Oreochromis niloticus: one gene and its partners. The protein of the gene in region 2 purifies or fractionates together with the protein of the main gene of each other region. This does not show direct contact. Links are inferred from orthologs where the notes say so. Each region holds a gene or a part of one and is shown on either strand. Other genes may lie near its edges.

Region 1 (3,752 bases), on a different chromosome or scaffold from region 2:
GTGATGCAGGGTGTTATTCACCAAAGGGAGATAAGTAGATAATGTGCATTACCTTAACAGAATGTCTGTGTGAAATGGGGTTGATCAGCGGGTCAAAGTAAAATGCGGGAAGATCGGGATCTTCTGTTTTGATAAAAACCACATTTGGTGTGTGGTACCTGGGGAAAACAAAACAAAAACATCACAAGTGTTGCTTTTATATAGCCATTATGAAAAATAATGCAGCAAATCTATGATGTTTATAAGTGATGAATGTCTCTCCTGTCTTGAATGAAAAAGGATTTTTCAGTCAGCCAGCATTTCAAGTAAACAGCAGTTCTCACCAGGTGAGGTGGACGTGGTGCGGCAAATTGTTGTACAGGTAGGGGAAGGCGATTTTGTACTCTGTCCTGATGGGCTGTCGGATGATGATTTTGTTGATGTCGTTGAACTCGTTCCAGTCTTCATCCCTACAGAGGATACAGAGGAACCAGTTAGGACACAAAACAGCCAGCATCTGTTCTCACGTTATGTTTGGATTAAAACAGCAATATCAAATAATTTCCAAGAAATATTTAAATTCTGAAAGCGAAACTATAAAAACTTTATTAACATTAATAACAGTAAGTCTTTAGAATATTCATTTTTTAAAAGGGTGAAAGAACATACTGGAGGTTGATGTCTCTGACCAACGGCTCAAACTTTGGCCCTCCAGGGATGGCCATGTTTAAAGCCTTGGATGTGAAGAAAGCCTTCAGGTCAAACAGATAGAAGTAGTTTCTATCAACCAGATCTGTCAGAAGCTGATTGGCCAGACGGTACAGTGTGGACATCATGGGCAGTGTGAACTGCCAGCGACGATAGGTGGTGCCATTCACAAACCTGAGCAAGACAAAGATAAATCATCAATTAATGTTTCAAGCAACACATCAGTTGAATATGCAAAACTTAAAATCTTTGTCTGTGAAGAGAGCCATGGCTGCTTACTTGGCTGTGTCCTTGAGGGGCTGATGTTCATAGAACCAGTCCACAACTGAAGCATCTTCCTCCGGATCAAGCTCCATCTGAATGGCCTCCAAGGGTTCCACATCAAGAATGTTGTCAGCGTAGTCCAGTGGCGGCTCCTCATCATCAAAGGGTGGAAAGCGCATTCTTTTGAAGTGCCGACGATCTCTTTTCTCACGACGCATCATGATCCACATGGTGCTGGGATTAAAATCGGGAAAGAGACAAATTGAAGTTTTATTGAATGGAAATGAGCACAGTTGGCTTGAAAGTTTTCAGCAGTAGAAACTCTCCCTTACCCCCACTGTGAAATGTAGACTGGCTCAATGACCCAAGGAATTTCATTGACAAAGGAAATGGCTCCAGTGATGTGATAAAGCACGGGCACATCTCGAATCTGTTCCCAAGGCATTGGCATGTTTTCCAACAGCTTCAGCACTGCATGGGGCATGTACTTGAGGGCACTGTTCAACAGACAGACACAGAACGCACATATGAAGATGTTATCAAGAAGAAAACACACCGACTTTTGTTAAGACTTTTAAAAAGAGTTAAAGGAGTCATCTTTACCCAAGGTAGACCCTCTTGTCATGGCGAAACTTTCTATTGGTCATGTCTCCATGGTCCCTGATGATCTTGCGGACATGTTCAGGTGGCATATCTTCTTTCTGAGCATCCACAAACCCAAACTTTCTCTTTTCTGAGTAGCGCTTTGCCTGTAACTGCTGCCATTTTCTTGCTGTAGAGTTGAAAGACATTTAATAATCGCGAAGTTAATCTTGTCTATTTGTGAAAACTTCTTCGCTAAAAGCTCAAAACATGGAAGTCCTGCTTTAGTCAATACAAACAACATACCCTTCTCTTGTAATTTCTCCTCAGACATGTAGTCTGGGACAGGTGCAGGAGGGGGCACACCAGGCGGCACAGCAGGTGGTACCCCTGGTGGCACACCGGGTGGCATCGCTGCAGGGACGCCTCTGTAAGGAAAGGCAGCTGCCATGGTGCCTCACTATCCAAAACAAAGACACAAAACAAGGTATGAAAATAAGTGAGATTTTTGATTATAACTGTATATAATGAAAACCCTGAGGAGAGAGGCTTTACATGTCAAACAAGCCAACTTACACTTAACTTAACTGAAACAAAGACTGATCAGAAACTTATTACATTGGCACATGAATTCCTTGTCTGGCTCCTGCAACCCACAGATTAAATAACAGAAGCCACAAAGTGAACGTGTGTGCTTAATGCCTTGCAAGCTCTGGAAAATAGAATGGCCTTGGAGAAAAATGCCTTTCAAAAATAATAAGTAGCTTCTTAATTCGGTAGAAAATGCATTTATTGCACATTAACTAATCTGTGTAGCTTCAACATCTTCGTGCTCATAGTTGATGAGCTAGCTACGTTAGCCTAACATGGCCTCCCGGATGGCACAAAACTGCAACAGCAAGGCGAACTTTACCCGCGTTTAACTGTCGTTAGCCCGTTCAGAAACAGCGTAAACTCGGGATATCATTCATAAATGGCTACATTATGTTACATGTAACACATTGTAATTCACACTGCAACACTAGTTATTAATTAGGCCAAGCGTGGAGGAAGCGGCAACTTAGCCAACTGCTAAAGCTAGCACGGTGGCTAACGATTGAGTGAGAGGTAAAACTAAGCGATAACAGAATGCATTCAACAACACGTACCTCGCTTACTTCACTCCCAGCGTTTCTTATCGTTGGATAAAGCCTTAATCCGCACACAGTCAGCTAGCACAACATTTCTTTCTTATTCTCCGTGTTTTTCCGCCTCAGTGTTGGGCTGATGTGCGCTAACACAAAACTGCATAAACGCACGACGCACGACAGCGGACACACGATGAACGAGCTTCAGTACTATTCACAGACGGCGGTTACGTCCGATATTTCTCTCCACCGGTAAAGAATCTGCTTTACGTCAGAAAATATGCGTAGACGTTAAACAAGCGCAATTTTTGAGAATACCCGGATGATCATGTTTCCGGCGCACTACTGCCCCCTGCAGTGTTGGAGTGCGATCGTCAGCGATCATATACTGAGTCCTGTAAAGTTTGTGGCTTAAACAAAAACATGATTTGCTGATGTGTTGTATTATTTAATCACATTCAAAGTATTTCATTACAGTTATTTGCTTCTTGTTTTATTTCTGACATGAGGTCATTTATTTCTTTTGTCATTTCCTTTTTGCCCCTTGTACTCCTAGGGACTCCATAGGGACTACAAACACAAGAGCCTGCCAGACCAGACGTCACATAGCAGGTAACAGTGGCGTGTCTAGAAAATTTTTGTTGGGGGGGGCCAGGTAGGGGTACAGATTTGGAGAAGGGTGGCAGATGTAATTGGCAGATAATGTTAAAAAAGAACTTTCTACCAACCGTTAACCATAATTCAATAACCCTATAAACCTAATAACCGAATGCGCTTTTAACTCTTATTAGAATGAGATTTTAACCACTATAGTGCAAAGTTTTTAGATATTGCGTTGATAAAGTACAAGAGATACAATAAGTGCTTTGTCATTGTTTATTCAGCATTCAAGGACAGCAATATTTGCATAGTATTTTTATGGAAATATAGTGCACATATGTTTTGGGCAAAAACATTTTTGAATATTAAAATACGAACATTTTTAACATACAATTGGCAAATTAGCCAATGCCAATGCAAAACTTTATCTGCCTATTAAAAAAAGAAGATAATCTTCTCACAAACTGGTGTTTGATTTTGAAACAGGAAAAA
Region 2 (3,752 bases):
TGTTTCCCCAGTTTGGTTGCTGAGCGGCTCTTTGGGGACAGGGCTGGGTCAATCTTTGCCTTTATCTCTGAGCTGAATGACTAAAATAAGCAGCGCTGGCTCTGCAGTATCAGTACAATCATAAACTTAATGTCTGAACATGCAAAATAAAACAGGTCTGTGGCCAAAGGCCGGCAGTGAACTCCAAACCAAATCCAAACTGAAGGGAAACAAAATACTTCCAGCAGAGATTCAGTCAATTCACTGAAAATTGAGAAATCAAATCCTTTGGTCAAAATCACAGTTGCTTTTAGAAAATACTTCTGATTTTTCTCCAGCTAAAGAGAATTATCAAGCAGCTGAAGCTCATTAAAATCACAGTGTTTGTTTTGGTTCCAGCTGTGACCCCTCAGACTGGATCTGGTTTAGAATTTCCAGCCGGTTTAAAAACCTCTGAGATTCCAGACCTGTTGTGGTCCGGTCCCACTTGGCTGTATTTATACTCAGCACTGGTTTTCTCCTTCTGGAAGAACTGGTTCAGACGGGCCTTGGCGTTCTCCAGAGTCCAGTTTCCGTGAAGGTTAGCGTTCAGATCCACTTCCTCCGACTCCAGAGTCTGCAAACAAAACAACAGGCGGGAGTTTGTTTAGCGAGGGAGAGAAATCAAACCTGAAGATTAAAAAAAAGGGAACTTATTCTGGTTCTAATGATGCATCTGCATATTATTAATGGCCGAAGTTTAAAAAAAAAAAAAAAAGTATTCCCCGAGTGCCAGTTTCCTTCATGAAAGCAGAGTCCTCGGAGTGAAACAGCAGTTCCTGTAGTGTAAACTTGGCTGGTTGTTCCAAGTTTAGTAAATCTGTCCAAGGTTCTGGTTCAGATTTGAGCTTTAGGGGGACGACTGTAACTTAGGAGCAGCTTACTTCCTGTTAAGGAGCTTAATGTTAACATTACCAATGCTTTTCACTGCACTGTAATTTGGAATTATCTTGTACCGCCTGTGCTTCCTGTTCGTCTCTCTTGGCGTAATACTCCTTCAGGTTGGCTCCTCGGTCCCACTGAGCTCCTCCGTCACTTCCTCCTCTGCCCCAACCGGAGTTTCCTCCTCCTGCATAACCCAGTCCGGTCACTCCTGGAACCGGCCCACTGACGCTGCCGTCCCCTGAGAACAATAAAGAAGGAGAAGCAGAAAGAAACCAGCTGAATATCTGAACCCGTTTAATCCGACTCGACTCACCACATTAAAGTAAGAACTTGTGATGTTTGGAGTCGTTAAAGCCACCATGCTACCGTTACCTTGCTCAGCTTTCACTACCAGGTGAGGTGGTAGAGGACCGCTAGAAGGGAGGTTTCCAAAGCCAGCATCTCCAGCTGCATCAGGTTGATCTGCGATGGGCGTGCTCACCTGATGGCAGAAAACGTACTTGTTCATTTAAAAGAGACAAAGTGAGAGAAATGATCGTTTTTTATCTCTACAGAAAAAAAGAAGGAAAAACAGGAACAGCTTCCTGACCCCGATGGCCGGGACCTCTGCTGCGTTCATCTCTCCTATTCGGACCAGATAGTTGACAAAGTCGCGGGCGGCGTTGGTCTGCGCGTCCTTCTTATTGGTGGAGTTTCCCATCCCAATGTAGTTGAAGCCATCGACTCGGACCTGCAGGGAGTACGGTGTAAGGTTAACAAAAACCTCCCAGAGTTAAACCCCCTGACGTCAGACCGAACGCTCACCTCACACATAAACTTCTGCCTGTTTTTGTTGCCCGCTGCTCGGATGTCGTAGTTTGGAGTCAGCTTCTTTTTCCCACACCAGGCGTACAGGAAGTTCTTGATGTCCGCCATGGTGGACTGACAGGAGGGTCCTCCTATTCCGTGAACCCGTTAATCTGAGAAACAATAAACTGCTGTCAAACTCCTCGATATTTAGCTTAGATCTGGCATTTACTGTGAACATCATTTGGTTTGGAGTCACAGAGGGATGAAAGTCAGTAAATATTGCCAAAAAAAGTCGGTTTGCTGAACTGAGAAATGATAATATCACATCTAAGAAATTACTGAAATAATTAACTGGCCAAACTCTGGTAGAAGCCTTGCTGCTGTCTGCTTACCACCTTTTAAGATGAACTTTGGTCTTGCCTGAACCCAAACGGGTCTTTGATAGTGACTCACTTATGTAAACATGGCTGTATGGATCAGAGTCACTTTACTCAACATAAATCTAATACGGAAATTGAATGAAGTAACTCAAACCCAGTCTTCATGGATGCATTTACTGTCCACTGCTAGGATAAATCCCGCTGTCTGCGGTGATTCGGGATACAAACGATAACAGCGTCATTAGCACAGCGGGTTGTTTTTACTGTGGACTTTTATCATCATCAGATTCAACTCTCTAATGTTTGGCTAGCATTTAACATTAGCCTCAAAGCGTAAAATTACATTTATGGCTTATAATCACGAATTTAAGTCACTTATCTTGAAACTTTCAGTACAATTTAGATAAAAATTAGTTTCACATAAATGTCTGAAATTAACCGAATCAATGCGTGACTGCAGGCTAATGTTAGCTCCCTGCTAGCTACTGATCACCGGAACTGCCACTCACATCGCGTCGCATTAAAAATATGATTAAATTAAGAAGAAATGCAGGTATAAATAACCCGAAGTATTTGTACTTACAGTCAGGTCAGAAAAATGCAAAAGCTGCTCCAGACTTCAGCAGCTAAGCACCGGTAGCCTAGCAGCCTTGGCTTCCTCCGGCTGCACTTCACTTTCGGTTAAAAAATAAATAAACTCCCGGTGCATCAGCGCCCCCTCAGGCCGGAGGGAGAATCGTCCTCCACCAAGTTCTGTTTCTTCTTCTTCTTCTTTTACTAAATATTTTTAGCCTTTATTGTTCTAACACAGTGGAGAGAATACATGAAAGCTGTGCTCCATGTTTCTCTTTTCATGAACACTTTGGTACAGAGGTCAGTCATCTTTACACCAGCGAAACAGATTTGAGCCTCATAGTTATAAATGCCAGTTACAGTGAAAGTAATAAAGCCAGGCCAGTTTTATAAACCTTTAGTTTATATTTAGTATAAGTATTAGAAAAGTATAAAAGAACAGAACAGAATAAAAGAACAGAACAGAACAAAAAATAGAACAGAATGGATAAAATATAATATTGAATTGATATTTTTTTTGTATTCAGGCATTAACTCCTGTGAAACCAGCTGATCTGGAGTGTTTTAAAGAAGGTGATGTTTCTTGTATATGACAGACAGACAAATGAAACATTCATCAGTCTGTGTTAACCTGAGCTCCCCTCCTGAAGGCACCAGATATTTAACCTGAAGCACCTGAAGGACCGAGCTCAATAAGATTTATAGATCATGTGAAAACAATAGTAGAAAATCATCTAACAGCCCTGCCTGCATCTCTTAAAGTGTTTTTAAGGAAACGAATGGATTTTCAGTGGGAACTTGATTTCATTTAGGGCATCTGAGGCAGAAAAAGAGGAATCTAAAAGAGTATTTTCACATCGTAAAGACAAAACTGAGTCATTTGGTTCAGCACAGTCAAACTTTCTGCATTTACAAACAGCAAAGCAACAAACTGCGTGATCACATCTGATGATTAATTTGTTCCAACACAAGAGACTTAACAGTTTATAATAATAATATTTTATTTTCAGTGAGATTCAGTTTGTTAAAAATCGGTAAAAGGTCAGAGTATTTTCTTTAAACCAGGAGATTCTTTAACTAAGTTCAGATTCTTGTCTTGATTTTTTA
Region 3 (3,752 bases), on a different chromosome or scaffold from region 2:
TCCTTGCTCTTCATGGCCTTGGCTTTTTTGGGGTCAATGACCTTCCCATTAAGTTTATGTTCTTTCTGTGAGGCAACCTGTAAAGCAATATAGACAATTGACAAAAATTTACATACGTGAATATTTCATCTTTCATCTTGATTTAGCGGAATGGATGTTTGATTGTTTGGGCATCATTGAGACCAAACTTTTATTATATGTTTTATTCATAAACCTCGCAGTACTGTAGTTACATTCATTCTAATTTAAGTCTGTATGACAGGCCAAAAAGGCCAAAAATGAATTTTTTCTGCTAATCATTAAATAAAACTGAAAAAAACCCCCACGCACACAGACATGAAGCTGCACAATCACAGCAAGTTCATGTCTGTTAGAAAAGTAAATTCACTGGTAATTAAAAAAAACACATCCACTTATGGGAACAGGATAATACCTTATCAACACTTTCAGGTTCTTTGAAGAGCACAAACCCAAAACCCCTTGACCGTCCAGTCATGGGGTCCAGCTTTAACGTGCAGTCTACAACTTCCCCAAACTTTGAAAAGTAATCTTTCAGGTCCTTCTTAGTCGTGTCCCAGCTGAGGCCTCCAACAAACATCTTCCTGTTGACAAATCACACAAAAATAAGCAGGTGGTGTCTATGTGTGCAGACTACTTTATAAGACATCTATGCAAGCTTCTTTAAACAGCTGGGCTGCTCAAAGGTCCCCTCATTTGCTAGAAGTAATCTATGTAACTTGCTTAATAAGTAATTTATCATCAATTTACATCCGGACAATACAATATCAAAACACAGCAGATCCTCCATTCATTAGGTGACTAATGAGGACCTGATTTCATCTTTTATGTGCATCCAAAATGTGAACACATACAATGGTTTTTCCGAAATCAAAATGGGCCTTCACATATAAACATGTTTTGTCCATATTAAAATAGAGCAAAGAGTCTGTTACCTTTCTTAACAGAAGCCTGTGAACATCTTCCTGTTGTTTGTGACCATTTGATAAAGAGAAATGTATTTATTCTTGAGTAAATTCAACTATAATCATAAAACGGGGGGTAATTGTTTTGTGATTTTACAGTGATGGTGATTTTTAAATGGTGGAAGTCCGAAACCCCTTTCTATAACAGAATCAGAATACTTTATTGCAGAGAAAACCATGCATATAAATCCACCAGTGAAGTACTGTAGACCTGCAACCAACCAGTTAGCAAGAAAGATGGTTTTGTTTACAACTGCAGTGAAAAAATGTTAAGATATTCCCTAAATTGAACCTGTTCTAATTCTTTTTAATTAAGGGATTCAGTGACCATGTTGATATAAAAGCACTGTGACTCTCAGCCTTTTCTAAAAAGGGAAACAAAAATCCTGCACTGTAATGTATGCTCTTCATACAATTTTGGAACCATTAGCTCCACTAATGATTGATATTGCCAACACTTGAACATTTGCTAATTATTAGCCAATATCCATGAATAGTAACCTAACGCAATCTTCCTCTTTTTGCTGCTCCCATTAGGCGTCGTTAAAACGGATAATCTGCCTATACTTCACCCTATTCTTGGCATCATCTTCTGTCACACCACAGCACAATAACAAACCAATACTCTGTACATGCATCTGTACTTTGATTTTCTGAACAACTGGCAAAGCTGTTTTTCTTAACAGAAAACTGAAAATAATAACAAATATTCAAAATAAATGATATTCGAAAATATCACTTATTTTAGTGTAACATATCCTTTTAAAACCCAAGCTTTTAAAATAGCAAACCGGTAACACTCAAACACCTCGGAAATCGTTCTAGTGTAATGTTTAGTTTATGAATGCAGAAGTAGTACCCAACAATAACAATGCCAGGTCCTGCAAAAATCCGGTCCTGCAGCTACAGCATCTTTTCGATTATCAACAGAGATCAACAGTGAACCTGAGTCTAGCCACCCTTCATCATCACCATACCCTTCATCCTCCTCGTTTTTACTGGCGTCGATCCTTGATCCTTCGGCCTCGCCCCCCATAAGGCCACAGTCCCCCGCTGCTGACATCGGGTCGTCACTGTTCGCCTCTCCATCCTCCTCCATTCTCATCATGTTCGGGTCGTCGCTTAATTCATAATCATCCGACATGTTTCGGCTTTTTCTGGAACAAGTCTTAAACTAAAGCTTCACCCCTAAAGGGCTCTGAAATCCAAGCTACGTCAGATATCTCTGCTGGAGCTAAGCTAACGGTCTGGCTTCTGTCAGCTGATGACAGGCTAGTAGCTGGCTAATATTTTGATATCATATGCTGTTAAATAAAATGTCTGTCGCTAGTTAGAACAAGCTAACTGGTTAGGTTACGTGAATCCAATGTGGGGTTAGTATGAAATTGGAGAAAACACCGCTCGGTATGAAAAAAAAATTAGGTTGAGTTACGATAATATTGAGAGGTGACTTATGAGCGTCGCTTTGTTTTCGTCGCCGTCATTTCTTCTTCGTCGGTTAAAACCGGCTGACAAACCGACGTGAAAGCTAGACCGCCCCCCTCTTTATGTAACAAATAGTACATTTTCGGCTTAATTTCCTCTTTTTTGTGGAGCAGTTTGCAAACTACAGATGAAAAAGAGGAAGTAATTGAGGCAAAAATAAGGAACTGAGCAAAGTAAACAGAAAAATACTAAAGTAGAATTATGTAAAAGACATTTTTCAGTTAGTAATTTATACTCTGAACAAATCTTTGGTCAATAATACACCAAAGACAAAAAGTAGATTCATCATGATTGATGAATCAAATAACCAACCCACCCATCAGCATGTTATAGAATATCATAAGATGCAGAATCTAAGTCATAAAATTTAATTTAATGACTACAGTACTGTGCAAAAGTCTCACCCCTCATTTATTTATATTTTTCTTCCAAGGAGCCAGACTTTTGTCATTTTTTTAACTAATCTTGAGCAAAAATTGTTAAAATCACTTACCTATTGGCACGAACCACTGTTATGTTGACACAAGCTACTTATCAAAGCACCAGTTTTAAATTGCACCTTTAAGGGTTTTTTTGTTTTCCTTTCTTTTTTGTGGTTTTATCATTTGTGATCCTTACTGTTCAATTTGAAAGCACTTTTTTAAAACAGTTTGGACTGAAGAAGAAGACAGGCTTCTGGGGGAGACAAGGCATTTATTAGAAGTCAATTTCCTGAATAATACCAACAATGTTTCACACAAAGTCTGGCAATGTTTCAGTATTTTCACTTCCCAAGATCAACATTACAAATGAACAACAAGTATGGCACATTTAAATAGACACCATTCACCTGTGAGGGGATTAATTAAGACATTCAAACAAAGTTTCAAATGAAGACTCTCATTCTGCTGAGTGCATCTATACTGTAATTATACTTTCTAAAACGAGACAGTTCACTAACTGTACAGGACTCCATACGTCTGCAACACATTTGTTTGGGTAGAGGGGAAGGAAAATGGTACATGAACATTTACAAAATGGTTAAGAAATACAGTTCACGCATATACATTTGGAGAGTGGCAGTCAAATACAGTTCGTCTAAAAGGTAAAAAGCTAGTCTCACATGTCATGTGCAGTTTCCTTCAGGCTTGTAAATGTAAAGCAACAGCTTCCCATTCAATCAAATGGTCCAATGACAATGACGTCCCATTTGTGTTCCTATAATGCTTGGTGCATCCGTTTCTATTCATGAGAAAGGCATCCTGAAAGAACTGCATAGTGAGCCACCTTTAAAGACTGGAATTT

What was found.
Region 1: the proteins of dhx9 (region 2) and prpf8 fractionate together in Homo sapiens (co-fractionation; 3 studies listed by BioGRID, with this or other methods). This does not show direct contact. The link is inferred for Oreochromis niloticus from reciprocal best matches to the Homo sapiens genes DHX9 and PRPF8.
Region 3: the proteins of dhx9 (region 2) and hnrnpd purify together in Homo sapiens (affinity purification with mass spectrometry; 3 studies listed by BioGRID and IntAct, with this or other methods). This does not show direct contact. The link is inferred for Oreochromis niloticus from reciprocal best matches to the Homo sapiens genes DHX9 and HNRNPD.

Annotation. Positions count from the first base shown.
Region 1 is NC_031979.2:19,593,866-19,597,617, forward strand, and holds the start of prpf8 (pre-mRNA-processing-splicing factor 8), read right to left. Parts: upstream 2,894-3,752; 5' UTR 2,682-2,893; intron 1,994-2,681; 5' UTR 1,985-1,993; coding exon 1,840-1,984; intron 1,724-1,839; coding exon 1,555-1,723; intron 1,449-1,554; coding exon 1,284-1,448; intron 1,186-1,283; coding exon 967-1,185; intron 862-966; coding exon 649-861; intron 450-648; coding exon 324-449; intron 159-323; coding exon 53-158; intron 1-52. UniProt on the Homo sapiens protein: Plays a role in pre-mRNA splicing as core component of precatalytic, catalytic and postcatalytic spliceosomal complexes, both of the predominant U2-type spliceosome and the minor U12-type spliceosome.
Region 2 is NC_031982.2:34,273,546-34,277,297, forward strand, and holds the start of dhx9 (ATP-dependent RNA helicase A), read right to left. Parts: upstream 2,808-3,752; 5' UTR 2,656-2,807; intron 1,863-2,655; 5' UTR 1,819-1,862; coding exon 1,708-1,818; intron 1,634-1,707; coding exon 1,493-1,633; intron 1,385-1,492; coding exon 1,276-1,384; intron 1,142-1,275; coding exon 975-1,141; intron 596-974; coding exon 447-595; intron 1-446. UniProt on the Homo sapiens protein: Multifunctional ATP-dependent nucleic acid helicase that unwinds DNA and RNA in a 3' to 5' direction and that plays important roles in many processes, such as DNA replication, transcriptional activation, post-transcriptional RNA regulation, mRNA translation and RNA-mediated gene silencing.
Region 3 is NC_031972.2:11,790,723-11,794,474, forward strand, and holds the start of hnrnpd (heterogeneous nuclear ribonucleoprotein D0), read right to left. Parts: upstream 2,501-3,752; 5' UTR 2,128-2,500; coding exon 1,961-2,127; intron 984-1,960; exon of another isoform or gene 954-983; intron 603-953; coding exon 434-602; intron 78-433; coding exon 1-77. UniProt on the Homo sapiens protein: Binds with high affinity to RNA molecules that contain AU-rich elements (AREs) found within the 3'-UTR of many proto-oncogenes and cytokine mRNAs.